2 linked regions of the Struthio camelus genome follow. The protein of the gene in region 1 purifies or fractionates together with the protein of each later gene. This does not show direct contact. Links are inferred from orthologs where the notes say so. Each region holds a gene or a part of one and is shown on either strand. Other genes may lie near its edges. The genes, in order: PIDD1 and CRADD.

The links.
Region 2: the proteins of PIDD1 (region 1) and CRADD purify together in Homo sapiens (affinity purification with western blotting; 8 studies listed by BioGRID and IntAct, with this or other methods). This does not show direct contact. The link is inferred for Struthio camelus from reciprocal best matches to the Homo sapiens genes PIDD1 and CRADD.

Annotation. Positions count from the first base shown.
Region 1 is NC_090946.1:16,116,725-16,129,017, reverse strand, and holds the start of PIDD1 (p53-induced death domain-containing protein 1), read left to right. Parts: upstream 1-6,980; 5' UTR 6,981-7,108; intron 7,109-9,230; 5' UTR 9,231-9,331; coding exon 9,332-9,596; intron 9,597-11,383; coding exon 11,384-11,797; intron 11,798-12,293. Other genes in the region: RPLP2 (large ribosomal subunit protein P2), read right to left, coding at 1,300-1,376, 1,842-1,943, 3,762-3,810, 5,176-5,298. UniProt on the Homo sapiens protein: Component of the DNA damage/stress response pathway that functions downstream of p53/TP53 and can either promote cell survival or apoptosis.
Region 2 is NC_090942.1:51,379,594-51,392,526, reverse strand, and holds the start of CRADD (death domain-containing protein CRADD), read right to left. Parts: upstream 5,894-12,933; 5' UTR 5,704-5,893; intron 2,181-5,703; 5' UTR 2,173-2,180; coding exon 1,875-2,172; intron 1-1,874. UniProt on the Homo sapiens protein: Adapter protein that associates with PIDD1 and the caspase CASP2 to form the PIDDosome, a complex that activates CASP2 and triggers apoptosis.

The sequences.
Region 1 (12,293 bases):
CACCCAGCAGGAGCTGAAGTAGAAGAAAGGTTTTGGTGCTACCTCCGGTAGCTCTTTCTTGCAACATGCAGAAAAGACAGCAAGGGGTAGTTGCTTGAATCACAGCCATTTTGAGGTCTGAGGATTGAAGTTTCATCTGCTCCCTCTTCCTTGGCTGCTGCTGAGTGTTTTCTCCAGTATGCCACAGGGAGATAAAACACTTTTTCCTACTTGGATTTCACCCATCTACACTCTGGGATATATTCACCATGCTTTGTCCAATGACTCATAGCCTGCACAGCACTATCAGCCACACACTGCAACAACTTAACTGTTGGCAAGACTTCATAGCGCAGACTACTTGCTCCAAGACCCTGCTTTTGACACTACTTGTGGAAAACCTGGCATGGGAAGACCATCATGCGCCTATTTGCACATTACCTGTTAAAGACCGCTGTAGAAGTCACTGGAAGTTGTCTGCTGGAACTGGCTCCTAGCAGAAAACACTTTACAAAAGCAAAATTTAGCATCCTCCCAAGATGATGCATTTTTCTGGGCACACCATAGAGGTCAACTTCCAAAAATATTTTCCTATTTTCTTTTTGTTCCATTTCAAGCTGATACTTTGGCTGTCCCCAAAACAGAAATTAAGAGCGCCTTTGGACTGACTTCAGTGTCCTTGGGTTAAAAGCCCCTGAAGAGCAGGGCCTGCAGGCAGGCATGTGGTAATCTTGTGGAAGGCTTAAAGTTGAGCATATGGATGTAACGTGAAATCCAAGTAGAGTCAAACATGTTATTGGTGTTGTTTCTAGATCTTGGAATATGAAGCCAAAATGAAATCGGTGGGTTTTTAAATAGTTATTTCAAAGCTAGTTCTAATAAGTATTGGTTGTAACATTTGTGGACTCATCTGGACTTGCTTGCCACTCATGTTTTGGAATTGACTACACAGATTCCAAAAAATAAGCCTTTTTATGGCTGAATAGGTAGGATTCTTTCCTGAATAACTATGATGGCAAGATAGTGTGAAGAGGGTGAATTCACGTAAATTCAACTTCCATATACCATTTAATAAATAGTCTCAAAACAAGCCTTCAGGTTCACACAAGCTTAGCAATACCCAAGCGCTTTAAAAGAATCATTCCCATGGCCTCATTTACTCAAAGTAGCATATCTATTTCAGACAGAGCTAAAAACCCAAGCTTTGTCAGAGCTATTTTAAGAAAGCTGTCTGAATCCAATAGTACTTTATGGTTATACTAATAAACTCAAAAACCCTTTAAAACAAACAAAATTTAATAGTATTTCTATAACAAATAATTAATCAAAGAGGCCGAATCCCATGTCATCATCAGATTCTTCAGATTCTTCTTTCTTCTCTTCTTTCTTCTCCTCAGCTGAAAATGGAGGAAAACAATGCCAATCATCAGTATTTACTGTACATTTTTTGCACCACAGGTTTTCAGGAACAAAGTTAATGTTTTGGTGTTCTCAGCTTCCATGTTATTGGTATTTCAGCCTCCACCGTTCATCTTCGCAGCCATTCATTCCCTTTCAGTAGCCAATATAAACACTGTAGGGACTGAGACACTACTATTGAAGGGATGTGCTTTACACAATAAAGTCCATTTTGATTCTCAGAACCAGAACAAGCTTATGGGATGGTGGCTAAAGAACAAACACTTGTAAATGCCCTCAAAAAGTAACAGTTCAATTCACATTTCAGTCGCACACTCAACTGCCAAACTGGAAAGAGAATGACATTTGGATTTCACCCAAGATTTTAACAGAGGAAAAAGGAGCTGTCCTGTGACGACATGTCTCCCCCCAACTCAGCACACTAACCAGACACCCACGCTCACCTGCAGCGGGGGCAGCACCACCTGCAGCAGGAGCAGCAGAGCCCCCGCCAGCAGAGACGGCCACAGCTCCTCCCGCAGGCATGCTGGCAAGTTTTCCATTACCTGAACAAGACAGAGGAAGAACAGTAGTTAAATGCTCACTGCAGTGTGTTTAATGATGCTACAGGTATTGCAACACGCAGACCAGCTTTTTTATCTAGCCAGTCTGGAACACAGGCAGGGTGAAAAGGAGGAGAAACGGAAGTGTAGAAAACTCAGAATCTAAGTCTAAGACTGAACAGTCACTATTAACTGAAAGGAACAACCAGCTGCATCCATCGTAAGAAAGCATAAACCATTCTACTAAAAGGAGCTGGAGTTTAGGTTTAAAAGTGCTTGTTCACATCAAAAGCTTGTCTGGAGAACACTGATACTGTATTAATAAAGTTTTCTTCTGTATATACAGTCCCTACATTTTTTCCAAAATGGTCCTATAAAAATAGTGGCAAACACATCAGCAAATTTTACAGATACAGAAAAACAAGACTTAGAGCTCTTTCTAGATGATTTCTGTTGAGCTGTGTCTATTTATTGGCTACCATGTTGCAATACAAGGTAACAGTTCAGAAAGTAGGTAACTTTAATATACCTCAAAAATAAGTATGGGCAGACTCGGCTATTTTGTTTGTTTGTTTGAAGGTATAGACAATTGTAAGGGCATGACTAAGATCACATAGGAGAGAGAAGGAAAAAAACGCTGTTATTTGTGGCAAAAAATACAACATTCTGACCAGATCCTCCAACACCCTGTGAACTATGGCATGTCCTTTCAGATTAGCAAACTTCCTTCTGATTTATGCTTGTCTTTGGAAAGTCAGCCAGTTCTCTGGCATCTGCCTTTCACATACCAAGGCTCCCTTGGCATTCAGAGGTTGCATACACAGTATGTTTGCCTGTATTACAATTTCTGGGAATCAGTTTCTAAATAATTCCTTGTTATTTCAAGCTCTAATAAACTCGCAAAGTAAACAAACATGTTTCATATGCCTGTCAATGTGTTCTAGGAAACTATATTTTAAGATCAAGTATCACAAAGAAGTGGCTTAAATGTGTTGTAAACACACGCACAATGGCTCTCTTAGGTCTTCAGACCACACTGACAGAAACATCCAGTTACTGCTTTTATCAGCAATGCCAGGCAAAGTCCTGGCAACCTTTAAGCAAATATAGTTCAAATATGTATGTATTGCGCCTATGTATTTGCAAAATAGAGATTAATTAATTCCAGACCTTTGCACTACCTCAGCTCTACGTTATTTCAGCCCTGTGACCCAGTGAAATAACGTTAAAAGTTCCAGCTTAGGTGCCAGCAGGTAAGAGCACAAGCTTCCTATACAAGTCAGTACCTCAGAGAGCCCCATCTCAGAGAAAAGGAAAGGCCAGATTGGGGCAGCTCTAGCAAAGGTGTGTTTTGGAGGCTTGTATTAATTGCAGTGGGGGCAACTGTGCCCTTAACAAGAACCGTCACTTCTACTTACATTTAACAGTCTCTTCTTCCTATTTTACTCAATTAGTCTGCACAAGTGGGTAAATCCAAAAAAATCTCCCAGAGTACCAAAGGTTAGCTAATTCTTTCTCTAATCAGCATGTCCAGAAAACTATATTATGAGCAGACTACCAGTAAGCTCATACATTTTGAAGTCTCCCAGTTTAATGTGGTCCACAAGCGAAACCCAGCAGGTACTGGCACTGACCTGCAAGGAATTAGAATGGACCTGCTGGATTTCACAGTCATTTCAGCAGAGATCCAGCATGAAAGTGCTCGCCAGCGAGACCAAACTGATGTATATGTCAAGGAGTTGACAGTAATTCTGTGCTCTTAAGCCTAAGTTACCAAACTGGTAGAGGCAATTACCTGTGACACTCGAAGACTGCACTTACCCTGAGCAATGACATCCTCAATGTTCTTTCCATTCAGCTCACTAATAACCTGTGTAAATTAAATTTAAAATGTCAAAACAAGAGTACAAGCTACCTTTACACAAGTATTGATTAACGGTGAGCAATGCCTCCATCCCGCTGCCTGCCCAGCTCCAACTCAGTGGAAGGAGCAGAAAATTGAAATACAAGTTCCAGCTAGCTCTTTTGTGCTTTTCTGTGAAAGTTTTCTCATGAAATCTGTTGCAAGAAATTCATAATGAATCCATGGACGTTACAGAAAGTAGGGTGCCTTCTGGAGCCAACTGGGAAACCCCACTAATGGTTTGTTACTCACTGAGGGACTGATAACTAATCTTGCTTAACTTCCACTGGGAAGCTCTGAAGCACTGGGCCTCACACCAAAAACCACAGGGTCCTGTTCTTAGCACTACCAAATGTTAAAGCCAAGCTGGTGACTATATCCTTGCACTGGAACAGAGAGTCCTGACTTCTATTTTACTATCATTGTTGTATAACCAGGGATGAGGAAAACAAAAATTGCTAAAGCAAGCAAGCAAAAAAAAAAAAAATCAAAAAGGAACGTCATAGATCTTACTAATGAGCTCCTGCTATTGGGTGTCAGTGCTGAGCACTGCAGCGTCACCAAAGCCAAAGGAAATGAACAAATGAGGTAAGGCCAACCAAGAAGTTTTGAAGAAATATCTCCTGCTCACACAGAGCATGCAGCCTGTGAAATGCCATGTCTGTGGGCTCCCTTAATCTGGAAGGTGTCATGGCTTCACTAGATTTACACTGGCATAAAGTCCAGCCAGTACAAATATAGAAAGATGGATAACTATGATCAAAACAAACACCAGTGAGACTTTCTGGATATTGAAGGATCAGGAAAAAAAAAAAGTTAAATTTATGAAGGTTTTAAACAAGGGTAAACAAGCCAAAGCTAAAAGACCTGGTGTTTGAACGCGAGTTCAACGCAACCTCCCAAACCCTACAAGGCTTCTGTCCGCTGAGTCAACCCATCATTTTGGCTGAGGGTGAAGATACGGCACCCGAACGGGAAAATAACTTGTTTTTCCTCCGCCCCTCTGGAAACACCCTGCATACAGGTACGCGGCAGGCAGTAAGACAATTTTTCCTTCTTCTTCCCACGGCCATTAATGCAGCAAACGGGAAGCTTACTACATCAGGAGCAGCTTTCCCACTAGAAAGCTCTTCTTAAAAAGCCTGGTTTTCTACGTAACCACTCCCGCACCGTTCCTGTTTGTCTCCTGCCCGTTATGACCGCAGGCCCTTTTCCCTCTGCGTTGCTCAGGGAAGGAAAACGGGCTTCTCCGGGGGGGGGGGGGTGTGACAAACGCCAGGACGTTACTGAGCGTTTGCCCCCTGGAAAAGCGGCAACTCTTGAAGCAAGCACCTTGTTCACGCGCTCGTCGTCCGTCTCGATGCCGACGCTGTCCAGGATCTTCTTCAGGTCCTTGGAGGTGGGCGACTCGTTGCCGCCGAGGACGGCGAGCAGGTAGGCCGCGACGTAACGCATCCTGCGAGAGACAACAGCCGCCTCAGCGCCGCGCCGCCGCCCCAGCACATGGCCGCCTCCCCCTCCCCCCCGGCTCCCGCAATGGTCCCACCCGAGCCCCGCGGACCGTCCCGGGCGGGCGCGACCACTCCCGCGGGAGAGGTGTGTTGGGGGGGGGGGAAGTAGGGAAATGGGGTCGCCGCGCGCTTACTCGGAGGGAGGGGGGGCGGCGCGGGAGAGAGGCCTGCGACGTGCGCTCGCGACGGCAGCCCGGCGGCGAAAGGGAAGAGGCGGCGCCTCGGCGGCGGCTTCTTCCCGTCACCCCTCAGCAACGCGCGCTGCCATTGGGCCGCGCCGGCCGCGAGCCGCGCAGCCAATGGGTGGGTGGGTGGGAGGGGCGGCGGCGAGTAGGCGGCGGCCGCCATCTTGATGTCCGTTAGGGCGGAAGCGGCAGTGGAGGTGCTGCTGCCGCCGTCCCGGCTTCCTCTCGCTTCCTCTCGGCACGGCTCAGGCTAACCCTTCGTTACAGTTACTCCCCCTCGAGCTCCGTTATTAGCGCGGGCTCCCGTCGTTGCTCCGCGCTAGGCCTGGATTGGCGCTGCTGCCGCCTGTGAAATCCAGAGTCTGGCCGTTGCGGCCGCCGTCCTGTCAGCAAAAAAAGGCATCGCGAGGACGGGAAAAAACGCAGCCCGAAGTCGCTCCTGGAGTTAGGAGCCGTGCCAGGAAGGTTAGGCGTTGATCCAGCCTGGATTCCTGCTGGCGAAAATGGCCTTCGTCGCTTGATTTGATTCCTTCACCCCTGTGCTAGGGAAACGAATAAAAACGAGAAAGGAGCGCGGAGGCTCTTAGGAATACTGCGCCAGGATCCAACAGGCCCAAATAAAGCTGCATCACTGCAGTGGAGTGTTATAAGGAAGCTTTGGCCGTTCCTGTCCTGCAGACAGTATAGAAACCCCATACGCAGCGCTTTCCGCTTCTCACCCCTGGGAATTCAGGTGCCTCCAATAAACAGCCAGGCTCCCGGTTGTATAACTTTGGAAGTGTTTCAGGAAAGCAGTCTGGTAAACTAAAAAGCACAGCCATGGGCACAATTAGTTTTTTGCTCCCTGTAGGGACAGAAATTTCCCTCGGGGCACTGCACAGCTTATAGGCAGCTTTGAGCGAGAAGTGCTGAAACAGGGACCTCGCACTTCTCAGGTGGCATTGCACAGCGAGACCAGCGCGCCACAGCATGGAGTCACTGACTGGACACCTGTTGTGAACGCAAAATCAGACATTGCACGTTCTTAACAAAACAAAGAGCAAAATACATGCTGTGGGGTCTTGCCCGGACACAGTGTTAAGCTGAACTAAATCTCTTGCAATGAAAAAATCGAAGGCAGGGCGGCTCCCAGAGTGCAGAGCGATGAGATGCAGCGCAGCCCTGCGAAGGCCCCCCTGCAGGAGCCTCCCCCAGCTCTGCAGCCCCCAGTCCCACACACGTCAGGGCTTGCGGTCTCTGTTCCTGCTTGTTTTTTCTCCTTGAATTTGCAGCAAATTAGAGCGCTATCAGGAGCTGCCCTCGCCTCTCTTTCCCTCCAGGCTAAGCGCACATCTGGCCCCAGCCACCCCCTGCGGGGGAGCAGCGTGGACACCAGCTGGGGTGCGGTGGCAGGGCCTAGTGCCTTGGCCCAGCTCTCCAGAGCCGCCTGCCCCTTGGTCTGCTGCATCCGGCACCTCCTCCAGCGCGGCCCGCCCCGGCAGGCAGCCCGGAGTTCACTGCAAACTTTGCAGGAAGTGGCCGGCTGAGCCGAGCCCGACCCAGCGCAGCAGCCAGGCTTTCGGGACCAAGGTTGTGCCAGGGGCCAGGGGTGGGGGTGAGATGAGCGCGGCTGTGCTCAGTGGGGCCCGGTGCGTGTGGCCTGGGAGGTCCCCGGGGGCTGTGCCTTGTGGGTGTGGGGTGACGGGGGCCTGGGGCTGCTGGAGCTGGCAGCAGGGCAGGTGAGGACGGCCCGGGGGTGTGCCTGTGTGCAAGTGCACATGTGTGCTGTACACCCGTGTGCGTGTGCACGTGTGTGTGTGTGTGTAGATGCGCGTGTGTGCCTGTCTGCATGCACACATGTGCGTGTACGTGCATGCGCATGCCTGTATGTGTGCACGTGTGCATGCACCCACACGTGCGCGCCTGTGTGCATGTGCACACGTGTGCGCCTGAGAGCATGTGTGTGTGCCTGTATGCCTGTGCACGTGTGTGCGTGTACCCGAGTGGGGGCCTGGGTACGTGTGTGTGCGTGTGTATGTGCCTGGGTGCATGTGCATGTGTGTGTGTACATATGTGCTTGTTTGTGTCCAGGTGCACGTGTGTGTGCCTGTGCATGTGCACGCGTGTGCCTGCCCGTACATATGTGCACACGTGTGCCTGCCCGTGTGCGTGCCTGCGCACACGTCTGCTGCCTGTGTGCCTGTCTTGGTGCCTGGGGCTCGATGTGCGGTACCTGAGCCTCCCCGGCCTGGCCAGGGCAGAGCTGCTCTCTGGTCTCTTCACCACCAATGGCTCTGCAAAGCGGCATCACACCAGCGTTTTGCTTACACGTATCTGTGACAGAGCTGAGGTCTGTGTGTGTATTGTGTACAGCGTTTTCATGAGAAATACTTATCTTTTTCCTAAAGTGGTACTTTCCATTTGCCCTTTCTTCCCTTCCTTATGCGTCAGCAAGGCTTCTGCTCTTTCAGGGTGTTGTGTGTGATGTCTCCTTCCAGACTGTGGCAGGGAAGCATTGGTACTGCCATGTCCTGCAGCTTAACAGTAAAAAGGGGTGCTCTTCAGAGTACTGCTTCTACTGCCCTTGGATGTTGAAGTTGTTAACAGTTTTTACAGTTCTACATCACTCACTCAAACTTGTGTTCGGCTATTCCATCCAAGGCAGGGTTTTTAAACATGAAACTCACATCCTAAGCTTCTTTCATTGCCAAGCTCAGGAGGAGTTAAAAAAGATAAAGGAAGTTAAGTGGAAAGAACGTGAAATGGGGGACTTGGAAGTGTGTAACCGTTGGTACAAAAACAAAGGTAGTACTTGTGCTCGTTTTTATGTTATCGATGTGCCATGGCAGTTGTCGCATGCACACATGCTGATTTCCAAAGTCCTGGGTGCATGGAGGCTTCTTCACAGTGAGAAGTTAGTGGAGTAATTAATTTGTTCAAATTTCATACCTCTGCTCCTTGAGCATTAAATCCTCCTTAGCACACACTATACGATGCCTGCTTTTCACCCTTCTCCTTGTCCACAAAGGGTGCCGCGTGGGGCGAAAAAAAGGAATAGCTGGTCACTGGTCTGCTGTGGCTTCACGTCCTCATTGCTGGCTTCCAGCATCCCTGCGGAGGCAAACCTGTAAGAGCACGAGTCGCACCGCACGGTGCGGTGCTCCTGTGCCACGGACATCCCTCCGATGGCCCCGCTCCCTGTCACTGCCCCGTTTGCTCCACTGCCCTTTGCCCACTTCCAGCTGCGCTCACGTTTATCCCCTTGGCGCCCGGTTGCACAACCGGCTGCGCTCCAGGCCCAACGCCGCCTGCGAGGACCCTGGGCTCTGCTCGGCTCTCTCTGGCCCAGTTTCCCCAGTTGCTGATAAACCTCCTGACCATCTTGCTAAGGCACTTTGAAATCTGCCAGTTAAAACTTCTGTGCCAGGCGTAGGCATTAGTGATTATGTCTTTTCAAGTTACTCTTGCTGTTTATTCTGATGTTGGATAGCTCTTCCACTCCTTGAAGTCTAGGAGAACGCAGAGGTTTTTCCTGAGGAGGGAGAAGCCTCCGCAGTGTCTCTCGCACTTCATTCTCCATGCCTTCTGCCCGTAAAGCTCTCAGTTACACACGTGCAATCCCTTATACCCCGTTGCTGTTGATTATAAGCTGTTTGCAGCCTTTCTGGGCTTGCGCGGGAGGCCTTCACCGTGCGCTTGTGCTTCCTTTCAGAGCCGTCCTCACTCCTTGGCCCGGCTGCCTCGCCGTGCTGCCGGTGCCTCCCTGCCTGGCAAGTCAGAGCATGTCCCAGCCCCGCGAACGAGACGCAGAGGATGGCAGAGCTGCCGGGGCTCGGGGACGAGCGCGGGGAGGGCACTTCGGGGGCTCCCGCGCTCACCGGCCCCTGCCTCGCGGACAACAGGCTGAATCTGGATGTTTATCCTGACGGCTGCTGCCGCTTCCTCCAGCTGTTTGAGAGGCGCGGGGGAGACCTGGCCCAGGTGGAATTCGTCCGGCTCAGCGGCAACGATCGCCTCCTTGGCGCCATGCTGGGCATCCTCCCTCATCTGAAGAGCCTGAAATCCCTCGTGCTGAAAGGTAAATTCGTGGACCTGTCACCATCCACTTTCCTAGGCTCAGTTTTAGTTATTTTTTTTTTATTCTCCTCTCCACATCCGCAGGACAAACTGCCTTTATGTGTGGGGTTTTTTTGGTGGTACCAGTGCCCCTTCCTAGAGCTTTGGCTCTTAGTCTTGCTCAAAGCTGCATGCGGATTTCACCAAGAAGCAGCTTTGACGCTCGCGTTTCCCCGCTTTGTTTCTGCAGCTGCCTGGGGACCAGTTTGTGGAGTCTAGTTAGATGGACACTGCGACTTTTTCTTTATCCATCCTCTGCAAGGAGAATGTTTTTTGCAGTTATGTATAGAGAGGGGGATTGACAGGTGATAGATTTTTTGGTGGCTGTTCAGCCCCTCTTTTATTTTTGGAAGCATAATGAGCTCTTTTTGCTGCAGGTTGCTCTGAATAAATCCTAACTCGATCCTTGCTTAATGTCAGCAAGGATAAGCTTAGCAGCATTCAAGATCGACCCGAAGAGGCTGTTCAACATTTTATCAAAAAGTAGGACTCAGGATGTGCATGTAATTTGGCATGCTGTAATAACTGTCACATATAAATATTATATCGTTCTTTGACTTTCTCGTCTCTTTATTGTAGGAGGATCTCAATATGAATGATAGGATTTTTGTATCAGACTGAATCATTTGGTCTTTGGGAGGTAGAATTTAAAAACGCATGAGAGAAAAGGGTGGTTTTGTGGCCAGGCTTCAGCATTCGAGCTGAAAACTTGAGAGACTGAGGTTCATTTCTGTGTCTGCCACAGATTTCTCATAAAATCTCATGCAAATCATTTTGTTTGTCTTTTCCCCCTTCAATAAAGTCGTGATAACAGTAGTGCCTGTTGTGAGACTTGCTTTGAGAGATGAACGTACACCCTAAGCATCCTGAAGTGGAATAGAGTAGGTCACTGAGATTTTCTTATGTTCCAGGTACAGTTTGATTATTTACATTTTTTACCATTTTGCAGCATAAATATTTTTTGGTGCCCTCTGCTGTAAGCTTTTACAAACGGACAGCAGTTGGAAGGGCAGGAGGAAGCAGTGAAGAAACGGAGCGTAGTGGGCGTCTGCCTTTGGTTGCCTAACTTCTTTTTCCTGGGCGCAACCCTTCTCCAGCTGGAGTTTCGCAAGCTGGGGCGGGGGTCCTACCCCTCCCTCTCTGCCTTGTCATCTGGCCTGCTACTGAGCTACCTGCTTTTTGGCCATATTTTGACTGCTTTCCTCGTGCCTGCTTCGTCCGAGGATGGAGTGGGGGGGCTGCCCAGGGTCCCTCCCCTGTCCTGCAGGTCTCAGTTCTTGGGGCTGTTCGTGCTTCGGCAGCCTGGGCAGAGCCTGGAGGGCGAGGAGTCCTCCCCCACGGTCCCCCCAGAAAGGTTGTTTCTTGTCCAGTGGGGTTGGTAAGAGGTGGAAGAGGAGAGCGGGAGGCTTGGAGGGGTGTGAACCACCCTACTGAGTGGCAGTAAGGCATGGAGTGTCCTGGCTGTTTCTGAGCTTTGACTCCCCGTGTGTTTAGGTGAGCTCTCCTAGCTGACTGTGGCAGCTCTTGATTTCATAGCAGGTCTTCACTGTTATACCTCTTTCACAGATGGGGAAACTGAGGCAAGGAGCGGAAAAAACGCATATCCACAAGTACTTTGTAATCAGTGTTGCTCGTAGTGATGCGTAACTCCGTTTTCTGTGCTACGGCTTCAGAAAGGAGCTTGGTGTGAGGCTGGTGAGGTATCCCTTCAGCACAGCGACCTCTCCCTCTGCTTCCCTCTGCACCCAGGTGGCCATGCCCGGGACGAATTTGGCTCGTGTCAGCCTGGTTCTCTGACAAATTTGCCACCGGACTTTGGGAACCTGAGGTGTCTCACTCACCTGGATCTCAGCTTCAATCGCCTTTCCACCTTGCCCAGCTGCATCCCCCACCTCCCCAGCCTCCGTGTGCTCCTGGTGAGCCACAACAGCCTGGTGGTGCTGCCTGAAGACTTTGGCTGTCTGAGCAAGCTGACTTTCTTCTCTGCTATGAAAAACCAGCTGAAGGACTTACCGCAGAGCATTGGGGAGCTGGCAGCGCTGCAGGACCTGGATCTCTCGGAAAATGCCTTGGAATACCTCCCTGATGAGGTTGGAAATCTGCGCAACTGCACAGAACTGGATCTCTCTGGGAATCGGTTATCGAGTATCCCAGACTCTTTAGGTAAATATTTGCCCTGGGGAAAAGAAGATGACCCTCAGTCTCTCTCCCCATGGAGTGGTTAGCAGGAACTGTCCATTATGCTAGAGCCTGAACGGAAGGGATATCCGGAAGAAACATGCTTGGTTCAGTCAGTCTCTTTAGCATTAAGAGATCTCTGGACCACGCTCTCTGTGATCAGCAGGACTCCTAAGATTTCAGTCCAGTTTACAGAAGCTGAGGATCTGGTTTTGGGTAGCATCCAGCACTGGAAGCAGAAGGACTGGGGCTTAATGGTCAGATGGAAATCTGGGCTTGAAATCATGGTTGTCAGACGTGGACCGGTCCACGGGGCCAGACCCTGACTTTGCTGCCCAGCTTTCTGCATAGGGCTTTTAGGCCCTATATGGTTCTGGGCACAGGGGTTGTCACTGATGCTGCTGTATTTTGGAAGCATCTCACAGCCATACTCCTAGCTGGGTGCTGTAAAGCACAAGGCAAAAAAGGCTGCAGTGTCTCT
Region 2 (12,933 bases), on another chromosome or scaffold:
TTGCATGCAAAAAACACTGACAATGCCACCAACATTTTCAGTTAATTTCAGGATGCGCTCATCATTTATTAAGGCACAGGTGGTGCTCCCAAAGAACGCGCACAAATATTGACTATTGGTTATTTGCCTCTTACTCTGTTTTTACATTTTGTATTGCCACAGTAAAAATAATGGCAACCTTTGATCTAATCTGGAAGTCTTTTCTAGCTTACACGCAAGATTTGGCAATAGGATTATCAGTACAGTCAACCCACACGAAACTAAAGAACTTGATATGCATAAATACAGCATGTTAGTCACAAACTATCAAGTACACGAAGAAATAATCCACAAAAGAATCAAAAGAACAAATGTCTGAAACTATTTTTCTAGTAACAAAATATGTGATCTTGAGTGTATTTGGCGGCTGTGTGTGTGTGTGTGTGTGTGTGTGTGTGTGTGTGCGCGTGTGTGCGTGTGTGGAAGTGCAGACATTATTCAAAAGCTTTACCAGCAATTAGCAAACACATTGATTTGTAAGGCAAATACAGAACATTAGTATGGCAGGATTTGTCATATCAACAAGGTCTTTTTCAACACTTCAATACCACAAGATTGCATTGTGCTGAGAACTCACAGTGTTTTCACCTATGGGAGGCATGTGATATTTATTCTCCAAAAAGTTCTGAAAGTTTTTCACTCGGTTCTGCAGCTGGGGAGCAAGCATAAAGCAATCTCCACACAGGTCCAACAGAAGGAAAAGCTGTCATAATATTCCATTAAAAATGTCCTAAGGTAAGATAATGTCATATTTGTCCAGCAGATCTTCACAAAACATTCTTGGGCGTGCAGCTAACTCAGACGCTGGCACGCATGATGTTCAACAGTTCTTAGAAACACATCTTCACAAGCTTAAGAGTCTCATGCAAAACAGACTGACACTGGAAAAATCACATCATGTGCATCATAATAGGACCAAATCCAGATCAGGTGGGGTTTGAGGGGGAAAGAAGAGAAGTTAATCAGATTGCTCAGAAACAACGTTCCCGAGTAAGAACTACTTCACTATTAAACTGGTAACAGTAGGATAACAGCTCAGACATGTTTCAAAAAAATCTTTTCTAGGACAGGAAAAGTATATTTTAAGCATTTTCCCCCGTACTTCAGAACAGCTCAACAATTGCATATGGGTATTCATTAAAAAAATCACTTCAGAGGAAACATCAGGCTCAAAAAACTGTTCTAGAAATACATCTAAATGTCAAAAAACAAGAGATCTGACTCAATAAGATTATATAATATCCACTAAATCTGTTAGCTGCTGTGCTCTTTTTAAAACTAAGCAATGGCTAGTAATTTTGGAGGTACTGATCCTAGACATGTGCACTCCAATAAACACAATAAACTACATAATTCTAAATTAATATATGCCACCAAATTAAAACCACATTAAAATCATAATTAAATCAAGTAAATAAAAATCCTGCCAATATCAACACTGTAGAAGTGAAACACTGTAAAACATACATAAAACAGATTAATCAGGTATGGATTATGAAGAGATTGCTCTTCAGCTAGTTGAAACTACTCTTTACAGTCTGCCCGTTTTGTGGTAAGGGACCCTGGGTCCTACATCTCAGACCCTCCAAATACAGCCTTTCCTTATGGAAGCTGCTGCCTCCCAGTATCCAAGTCAGCCTTGCTCACTCCCCAAACTTTGCAATGCTTCCTGGCGTTTGGCTGGCTTCCAGGAAATTCAGGCTGTGCCCTATGCTGGTTTCATGCTCCATATCAAGTTATGATGCATAACTTGAAATTACTGGTACATTCAATACATTCAAAATTACAGCTGAGAACAAGCTTCAAAACATCAGCAATAGCAATTCAGGCCTTACCTGCAGGATCTTCTACTGTCATTTCCTTACGCTTAGCTTTCAACTTGTCTTTAACCCATGGAAACTCCTGCAAGGAATCCAAGAATACATCAAATGCTTTGGGTCCTCTAGTAGGAAGAATATCAAGGAGCATCATGGTTTTCCTTTGACTGGTGGTTTGGGATTTTATTTCTTGAACATGACTGTCTGTGAGAATCCCCTCTTGGTAGAGGTACTGAATAACAAGTCCATCCACGAGCACCTCTGTGCAGAGCTCCAGACGCAGGGAGCGTAGAAGTTGCTTGTCTCTGGCATCCATCTGACAACCTAGAATATGAGAAAAGGAGCAGGAACACGCATGGAGATTAAAATACTTCAATCTTTAACATCCAGAAGTGATGTTCCATACCTGCCAACCTTTAGAAAGAATGCTAAACTCAGTCATCAGCCTGGGAAAACTACTAGTGATCCCAGCCATCTTCTTTCTGCTCAGATTTCACTGTCTCAGAAGCTAAAAGGCAGCCATTTTTGGGAAACATTAGACAGGAAGGGAACCTTTGGCATTGTGAAGACCAGTCCTTTGTTGGAACAATCAACCGGGCTGAATAACCTCATCCATTAACTGGTCAATGCCCATGCTGAAAGCAGCTATAGTATTTGCCAGTCCATAAGAGACTCTACACCCCCCCCCCCCCAAATTAAACAGATGGCACACCTGATCTCTACTACTGCTGTCTCTGACATTATTACTGTTGCAGTACTTCTGCCACAGTAGCACAAAAGCAGCAGCAGGACAGACAGAAAGAGCCCAGCCTGCAGCAACAGCAACAGAGTAGGTAGCTTTGGCTTGTGCAATACCTATTCATTTTAGAAGGGTTAGAAGTGCACCTTTTACACCAAGCTGTTCTCTCCCCTGACTCATCCTGGAAAGCTGTTCTAGAACTTGACTGATCTGATGACGAGAAACTTTCTTCGGATTTCCATCTTAAATTTATTCATCTTCTATTTATAGGCATTTGTTTTTCTGCCAAAACTCCTTCTTCAGCTTAAGTAGCTCTTTTCCCTCCCTGGTATTTACCCTTCTAATGAGTTTATAGAAAGCAATCAGATGCCTTCTCTCAGCTTCCATTTCACTTGAATAACGCTCTGACTAGACAAAAGCTGGAAAAGATGCATTTTATAGCAACTCTACAGAAGAGGAATCAAGGCCCAGAGAGGCCAAGCAACTCACCCTAGATCATATCATATAAAAAAATGAGTCAGTGCCAGAGCTGTCAACTGAATCAAGACATCTAGCCTAGTTGTTAATGACAAATACATCCTTAGGCCCATTCATTTCCTTGAAAAGGAAAATGATAGAGTAATACAATTAAATACTTTCTCATGACTAATCATGAAGCCAAAAAAAACTGTAGCAGGTGTCAACTGTGATTACCAAGAGAATTTCTGATAATTAAACTAGAAGCTGCTGTTCTGACAGCTAGACCTTGCAGAAACCATACTTCAGCTTGAAGATACAGGGAGAATCTAAGATTTTCAGAACTTTTGTAGGAAAGCTTCTAATGCCTTTAAGTTGTCAGAGATGCGTATTGACTCCCAAGGCGCCATCAAAGACACTTCTAAGTGGCCTGGTTGTTAAAATCCAAGGCAGGCGTTCAACAAAATATATAGGCCTCTAAATGGCATTTTGGACAGAAAATAAGAGCTTATGGCCAAAAGAGAGAGACAGGAAAATCCCCTGTGAGAAAGCCCCTTTGACATCCTGTGATAAAGCCACTTTCTGATAAAGCTTTCCCTGAGCACCGAGAGCAATGTTAGAGGGCACCTTCTCAGGAGGACTGCACCTTGGCTGAGCTAGTCAGTAGATTTCTTATATCCTGAGCTGAATTTTCAAATGCCTACCTTCTAGGCATCACACCTAGGGTCATCCGGGAATCAAACAACCACTATCCTGGCACAGATGCTCTTAAAAAAGCTGAATTTACTAGGCATAGCTCAGACTGCATCAAACTCTGTTAAGAGATGATAGTGCAGGCAAGGTGACAGAAGAACAGTAAACGACAGAGAACTGGATACTCATTTTGGATGGGTGAAACTGAAGACTCTGGTCTCTATATAACACCTTTATGCTACTGGGAGCGATCACCAGATTAAAGCAAAAGGGGTACAATTTAGGAAGCAGATCCCCCTACTTTCCCCTTCCCGGGGGGATTCCCTGACCACCCCTGAGCTGATAAAGTACTTGCAGAATTCAAGAGAGGCATCTAGCCACAGCTCTGAGAGAATTAGCTAAACCCAAGCAGAAAATAGTTTCTGATGCTATGAAACCCTGCTGCCTCACGTTCTGTGATGGTCGTCAAGAGGCCCATCTAAGAGGCTCACTCGTGCACTGAACAGGGAACACTTGAGTCCTCAGACAGTTCAGAACACTTCTTCAGTTCCCTTTCTTCATTCCTGGCCCAAGTGCTCAACACTTCAAAATTAAGGCCTTTTCAAATCATCTCTGCCTGCACCTTCTTGCACCGAAAAATGCTTTTATGGCTATGAATCTGAAAGGAGAATTTCTGCTGAAGCAGGCATCTGGCCCACTGACATTAGCATGAGCACAACCAAGGTTTTAAAAGTCCATCAGGCCTCTTAACTGAGAGGTCACTGGCAGAGTTACAGGGCTTCTTGATATTTAAAAGGGTGGTTTTTTTTTTTTAAGATTAACTATTTCTTTATGTGTGTTTACCACGAGGAGGAAAGGGCTTGTTTAGAGTTGGGAACTAAGCAGTCGGACATGGAAGTTTATCAGGATTTTGGTGTGTAACGCTCTAGGGCCAGAGTTTAATGCAGCAATGAACTAACTTCAATCCCAGCCTATATCTAAGGATCCAGAGTTAAGCACCAGGATAATTTTCTCTGGTAATACAGAGAAGTAAAATACGAGGAAAGTAAAAATATGAGACTCCAGTTTACTTCTACTTCAAAAATGGAAGGACGATGCAGCTCAAACCTTCTCCAGCTACACTCCAAAAATGTACCTTTCCACTGTCGATCCAAACTTTAAGAAATACAGCTCCTCGTTCTGATGAACGAGCACAATTCTTGATTTATTTCCACACTCACATGGACAAGTTTGGATTTTTATGGATCCACTGGCGTACAATCTGTCCAAGCTCGGGGACACAACTTTTGAAAACCTGGATTTCAAGAACTTTCTGATCCTAAAATGAGCATTTACTTAGTTTTTGCTAGAACCATGTCTGCACTCTCCCAAATGCCCAGGGGACTAGGCTGCGTATAACTGCAAATATGACTCCGTGTACCTGCTTAGGTAAGAATAAGGTCGACCCTACCAAACCCGTGTGCGATCTGGTTATTCGCAGTGTGTCTGCACAGTTTAAAAAAAAAAAAAAAAAGAAAGAAAGAAAAAGAAAGAAAAAAAAAAATCAAGTTGTGTTTATAACTTCCGAGCTGCAAACCGAACCGAGAGACAGCTGCTGCCGGGACACTTAACCCCGGGCGGCGCAGCTCCGTGCCGGCGCGGCCGCCGCCTCCCGCCCGGGGGGCGCCGCCACCCGCCGCCCCGGCGAGGCCCAGCGCCGCCCGGCCCCGGCCCCGGCGCCGCCCACGCCCGCTCCGCGCTGCTCCGGGGGGCGGCGGAGCGGCGAGGCGAGGCGAGGCCCTGGGCCAGGCGCCGGGGCGGGCTCTCCTCGCTCGCCGGCCCCCGCGCGGCTCCCCGCGGCGCCAGGGTTGGGGGGGGGGGGGGAAGGAAGACGGGGGGGCCGGCCGAGCCGGGCCGGGCGGGGAGGGCGGCGGCGGCGGCGCGCAGGCAGGGCCCCCCCGCCCCTGTCGGCGTACTTACAGGAGGGAAGTGGGAACTACGCGCAGCGCCCGAGCGCCCGCGGAGCCTGCGCGGGGGCCACCATCTTTGTTGAAGGCAAGCGGGCTTCGCCGGAAGCGGCCGCGGCTCGCGGCGCCGCCGCCGAGGAAGGGCCGCCGCCGCCGGCCGCGCTGACGGCGAGGGCGGGGGCCCGCCGCCGCCATGTTTGTTGTGGGCAGCGCCGCGGCGCGTGGTCCGCCCGTTAAGTCGGTTAGTCCGGCCGTTAGTCGGCCAGGCGCGGGGGAAGGCTGCGCGGCTCCGCTGTTTGTGCTTGTAGAGGCCATATTTTTTGATTTTGGGTTTTTTTTTTTATCTTTTTGGAAAGGCGAGGTGGCAGCGGAGCCAGCGGGTCTCTCGGCAGGAGCCGTTTGTTTGCCTCGAGGGCTTGGCTTTTGTTTTTCGGACGGGAACAAGAGTTAGGAGACTGGGCTTGCAACCAGCATTAACAGCTAGGGTAAAACAAGGGCTCAGGCTCCCGTGCTAGCAGCTCTGTGACGAGGCGGTATTTCCGTGAGGAAGGCTCGCTTCCAGGAGTTCACATCTCGAATACCTGCTACTGTCACCGTCTGGGCGTTCTTCAGAAAATGGAAGCGTTATAGCTAAAATAAAGCTAAGCTTACAAAAAAAGGAGTTTTCACGACATTAGAAACAGGTGATCTCGCTACTCGTTATGGATACTGGTTCTTATTTGCAAGTATATACTAAGCCAAACCTCACTCAGATGCTGGTGTTACCTCAAATACACCGCAGTAGCATGCTGAATGCTGTATATACTTGGTTTCGTTACTTTTAGCTGAGCAGCCTAAAAATGAAACTTTCATATCTGAAAAGCAGTTAGGTAAAGTCCAGCCTGTTTTTACCACATTCCTTGTGCTATGCACAGTCCAATATGTTCTCATCGTTTTATTCGTGTATTGTTGGATATGAAAACATTCCTTTCAATAGCTCATTTTATACGAATATTTGAAATCAAAGTACTACAGAAGAGAGAAAACTCTGATTCATAGATCTATTGCAATGATGCAGTGTCATTTCCTATCACGTATCACTGTAGAACTTTTTTCCAACGTAGTGTAGGTGTCAGGCGTCACATGGATTTCAGTGATGTCAGCTCTTTTCTTTAGTGTCTGGCGACGGCAATAGCAACGAAGGAAAAAAGATCCTGTGGAGCTGGAACGCGCTACCTTGAAGTAGCAGGCAGCCACAGCGAGCTGGCTGTGGTCTGGTCGACTTGCTAATGCCAACCCTTCGGAAAACCAGAAAAGGTGGCTGCTGCAGCTGCTGCTAGAAACGTTGCCACCATGTGAATTCTATTTGTACATTCGGTTTAGACTGCTCATATAGATTTAAGCATATTTGAAGTTATTTATGGAAACCTTTACGTGCCTTTGTTAGATATCGTACCCAGGAAATATTTGCCATGGAGAAATATAACTGAAAGTATTGTTGGTAGAGGTAGTATGCTGCATTTCTTCAGTATTTTATTTACCTTCAGGGTTTTGCATAAGGAGATGCATTTAGTGACACTTAGAGAGCTTATATCCCTTTTCTTTGATTTTTCCAGTGTTTAACAACAAAGCTGAGAATTTATGTGGACACAGAATGTGAGTCTAAAAGGCAAAGTTTGATGTACACTAGCCTTAAGAAATGTTTAAAGAAATTATATATAACTTAGTATATGGACAGTTTCTGCAGAAATGCTATCTGTTAGGCAATTTTAGCAATTTAGGCAATATTTTAGCTTAATTGACCATACCTATTTTGTTAGGATTATTTCCAGATAAATAATTTGATACAAGGGATTGAAATTGCTTTTAGATAACTGATAAATAGTATCTCATTCCAACACATCCATTAAAGCAAGGTAAATATTTTGGCCTCGGGCACATGTGTTAGTCTTCTAGGAACGTAGACATAAAAATTTTAAATGCCGCTATTGGTTGTTTCACTCAGGCATTAACATAATATTAACTAAGACATTAACAAGATAAACTGGAAACCACACAAGTAAGTCATCATCAGCAATTCTAACTGAAAAGAAGTATGCTGCTGTTGTAACCAAAGTACAACTGAGGTGTTCTTAAATTTTTATACCTTATGGAAAGTTTGTAATACTGGCTGTGAGAAAGTGCAACATCTGTAAGCGATGCATACTGACAGAGGACACTGCAAACCATCTATATGATCATTCTTTAGCACAGAACGCATGGCTCCTGAAAATTTCCTTTCTTAATTTCTAATATTTCTTACTTCCAATTTCTTTTCTTTTTTTTTTTCCAGATATAGTCACAATCTAAGGAACTGTGTTATATCTAGAATTGGAGTGACCAGCTTGGAGAATTACAGTATCACATCACTGTGATCCTGACAGCTGCACTTAATACCAGATAATGTACCTACATTTTAAAATAGAAAATAAATACAAGCAATTGCATCACTTGCATTTACTGTATCTTTTTGGCAGATCAGGCAATTATGGTTATTTGTTTTATGTGGTCCAAGGAGATCTTAGAAAGTTAACAAAACATATGGGTATGTACAGAGCAACTCTGGTTCCCACTGAAGTAAACGGTTACAGTCTTGCTGTTTTAAGTATAGCCAGCATTTAATCATGTCTTTGCTTACAGTCTAAACAGAGACGTGATGCAAAGAAAGAAATGGCGAAAAGAAAATAGATAAGCTTAGGAAGGATGAGGATAACAGCAGAGGTCTAAGTCTGATTAAAGGGAAAATCTGATGTTTCCTTTTGATATAAATTGAGTGGAAACTGTAAAGTAGTGTTTTGTCTTTATCAATACAAATCAACAGTTGGTTATGCTCCGAGTTTACCCTGAAGCTACAGGATAAGGATGCGCACAGGTGTTGCCTTACATCCAAGCAATAAAACCCTTAAACTTCATTTCAATTCTGTTTGGGTTCAGCTCTGACTAAAGTTGTTCCAGTTCGGTTCTGGTCCAAGTTCAACAAAACTTCAAAAGAACGGTTCAGTTCCATTCCAGTTTTAGGGGAAAAAAAAATACTTTAGCCAGTTTGGGTTCAGCTCAGCTCCCTACTAAATGTGCTAAAATCTGAAAGCTAACCTTAGCTAAACACATAGATTAGAATAGTATTTCCCAAACCTTTTAGATCAATGGACCACTATTCATCCTGCACATTTATCAGGGGCTACAATGTTATCATCAGATTTTTAACTTAAAATTGTATTCGGTGTGGTTCTGTGGATTGGGGAACCACCAGTGGTCTTCAGGCTGCAGTTTTTTGAACGGCTGAATTCAGTGTGGCAAGTCCAAATCTGCGGGAACCAAGCTAAGCAGCATCTTTTCTAACAGTGCTGTTCTCTTTTACATGTGGGTTATTACAGATCAGAATGCCAGATTTTTAAATTAACCATACACTTTTTTTAAAAAAGCCCAATTAAAAGTTCCAAATCTTCTTAGAAACACAGCACAAGTATAGTAAAATTTTTCAAAAGCGTTTGAGAGGATCCTTTATGCTAATTAGAGTCAAGCTCTATGCTAGCATTTACATATTTTCTTTGTTTTCTACATACTAATTTGTTTCTGCTGATAACAAGAGCCAAAATTTGTTTTTTAAAACTCGTGCAACCAGATTTAATCTATTAGGACTATGCTGTTTTCAATTGTCTGTAGGACAGCATTCCAACTTTAAAGACAAAAGAAAAGAAATATGAGCCTCTAGATTTGTTTATTAAAAACACATCTAATTGGTTAAATCTCTTACAAAACCTCTGAAATGAAGATGGAAAAAAGGAACATATATTATATGGTTGCCTGTCATTTTTAGAAAGAAGAGCACAGAAAACATTTCTGAATGTGATGTATCTTGAAAACACTATTAAAATGTAAGTCAAAGTGGCCGAAACTCAGTGGCCTAAGGACCAGATGACGGTCTTGCAAGCCACTGCCGTCCACCTCCTTCACATGTAACGATCCCTTCCCTTCCTTTTCCTCCTTGCCATCCCAGTACACAGCTCCTGGCATGCACAGCCCTCCCAAATGCTGCCACTCTGCTCTTCTCCTGAGCCTGCCACCGGATTCTGGGAGGAACCCACCGGCTCCTCGCCTTCCTGACAGCAGCAGGGCAGCAATTATCTGTGCTGGACTCTGGTTGGGAAGGGGGCTGGCACGGTCCAGGCTGCGCTTGCTATTCCAAAAGCGATTCCTCATCACCCCTGGGAAAAGATGACAGGCAGGATTGAAGTGTGCCACTGCTCGGGGTCAGCCCCTGGGCTGCCACTTAGATTACTCTGCTATTTCGTAACTTCTCATTCATATAAAAGCTTTAAATTAAACACAGTTCGAAGAGAGCAATGAATATAAAATGTAGGTGACACTTGTCATCAATTTTCTTAAAAGTATTATTTTATTAAAGGCACATCCAGCATGTAGATAAAATATAGCACAGAAAGTTTCAAAACACATATTAAAGCATGGTGTTTGAAATGACCATGTGTAGTGCCCCTTTACATTTACATTTGTTTTGATAATAAAAGTAACTATTTATTAGCAGTACTGGAATGAACTAATTCTTAATGCTGTTTACTTTGATGCAGATAATCTCTAGCCAAAAATTATATGTAGACTAGTACTAAGAAAAGAAGCAGGTATGAAATGTAAAACTGGCATGCTCATTCTGGAAAAAAAGGAATCTCTGCCATGAATTGTAGTAAAAAAACTTGCAATTCAAATTTGCAAAATGTAACTCCATATTTCTCTTACAAGGAATTTTTACTCCATTCTCTGTAAGTTTATGAATTAATATAGTTCTCTGCTTGTTTTCTTCATTTTCTTATATGTGAAACACAGAAGTTTAATTTAAAGATGCATTTAGTAGGCAGATGAAATACTGAAAGCCTCTAAATGTTTGTTCCAGACTTATAAAATACTTTTAAAACAGAAAACAACCGTCTTACTATTGTGAGAACAAACCAAGAAAATCCACAAAATAACCTTAAAATCGAATGCTGACAAATAAGTAAAAGGAATTCAAGAAGCAAGTCTGAAACCTTCTCACAAAACCAACTTCTTCTGTTTGCAAATTACAACATATGAACAGATTGTCTAGTATTTGCGATAAAGACTGGGAGGTTTTAGATAAAGATTGGGATGTAAAGAGGAGAATAAGCACTATTTTTTGTCATCTATTTCTTTCTTGAGAAATCTGTTCTAAATCTTCCCAAGAAACTTCTATTGCTTTTCTCATATGCAGTATGTATACTTCTAAAGGCTCTGACTTTCAGGTTAAACTTTTAAGGAGCTAGTGATGAGTCATGGAAAGTTTTTATAGGTAGCCTATCGAGGGATTTGCCACTCTCTATACTTCTTCCTTATGCCTCAATTTCAAACAGAAAATGTCCTCTAATTACAAATTCACTGAGTCCTTTTTGTTCCCTTTCAAAATGAAACCTGTATCCATTCGTGGTTACCGTGGGCTAGTTAAGCAGCCTGACGTAGGCACTACATCTTCCAACAGGGGACTTAAAAGAAACAGATGAACTTCAAGAAAACAGTTTATAGTTCTTACAGTCGGTTTCCCTTGCAGACAACACACGTCTGTGGTGCTTCAGCTAATTTTCTCAGAAAGGAGCTGTGATGCCACTTCCACTGCGCTGCAGTTACATAAGAATCTCAGTTTCCCAACTTACTTCCCTCTCTCTACCTTGCAGTGCAGGCATTCAAAGATATTACCATCATCGTAGCTTAAAATCTTACTGATATTAATTTTTTTAAAAGTGACTTTTCACTTTTACCCTGATGCACTACGAAACGTGAAGTCCACCACCCACACTAGGGATAAGCAAATTGCAGCCAATATAGGCTCAGTCCTGTAGGATAATGTTCTTCCTAAGAGGAAATGAGGCAGCTGAAAGTGCCATAAACAATAACCACACGAGTATTGATCGACAACTTATTCCTCGCTAAAGACTGTGTCAATAAGCAACATGTTAGGTGATAAAAAAGCAAATGCATGAGATATGTTATATAGGTGCCCTGCGCAACCCCTCAAATTCAGAGATTCCCACTGAGAAAAGCTGTGCGGGTACAAAACAGTCATCTGAACAGATCCTATTTCAGGGCTGAAACGTTAAGAGATACAACTCCATTTTAACAAAGCATAATTAAAAGTGATTTTACAGCTTTCAAAAATCAATCTTACAACTGTTTCTTAGATAGTTCTTACTATCAAGCTTGGTCCAAAGCCTAATAAATAATAACTTCAATAAACTCCAAAGAAGAATGTGCATTGGGCTTTGGATTTTTCCCACATTTAACATACCTCTGCATTTACTATTTGTTAACCGACAGTGCACCAAATTACAATCCTCAGCTATGAAACATCAATTATGTAACAATTTGACTGAAAACAAAAGGATTTTTTTATATAACCTCTGCCTGGCAATGAAAGAAAAATTAAGGCAGGCACATTGAACTTGGGAATTTTTTAACGTATGTTGTTCTGTGCAACACTCAGCACTCAACGTTTCCTGGATATCGCCTATCTGAACTTTTTCCTACTAGATGCCCCCTTCTTTTTTAATGCTAACATAAGTAGCTTTTGCTCCTGCAGTTTTTCCTCCTTAATGTCATAGAATGCAACAATTTTATGTTGGTGTTTCAGTTCCTAAAGTGTTAACGGCTCTAAATGGGGGGAAGGGGGAAGTGCAGGTGCAATCCTTTTTTTTTTTTTTAATAGGATTTAAGCAGAACAAGATCCACAGTTTATCAAGGAACTCAAACATCATAATTATGGTAACACATTTTTACATTTCGGTAGACTCTTTCTCTGAGGACTAGGCTATTTCAAAGCCCTACAGATAACTTGATTAATGAACAGAATTAATCCCTCTCAACCTTGGAAACGCTGGGGCTAGGACAGACTGCTTTTGTGATAAGCTCTATTCTCCCCCTAAAAGTTCAGTCATCTAGCCAGACTTTGTTTTTATATGTGTTTTAAAACTGAGTGTTGATATTAGATACTCCCCCATGATTTTTAAGGTCTACTAATACACCTTTCCCCATATTAATGTCTGCTCCAATGCATCTGTGCTTTTTCTAGGCATGATGCTTAGTTTTCTGTATACATCTTGTGGGAAACGGCATCTCTCTTAGAAGTTGACTTTTTTGTGCTCTTTTCCTTCTGTTTCTGTGAAAATAAAACCAGCCCCTTCTCAGATAACAAAAGCTAGACAGA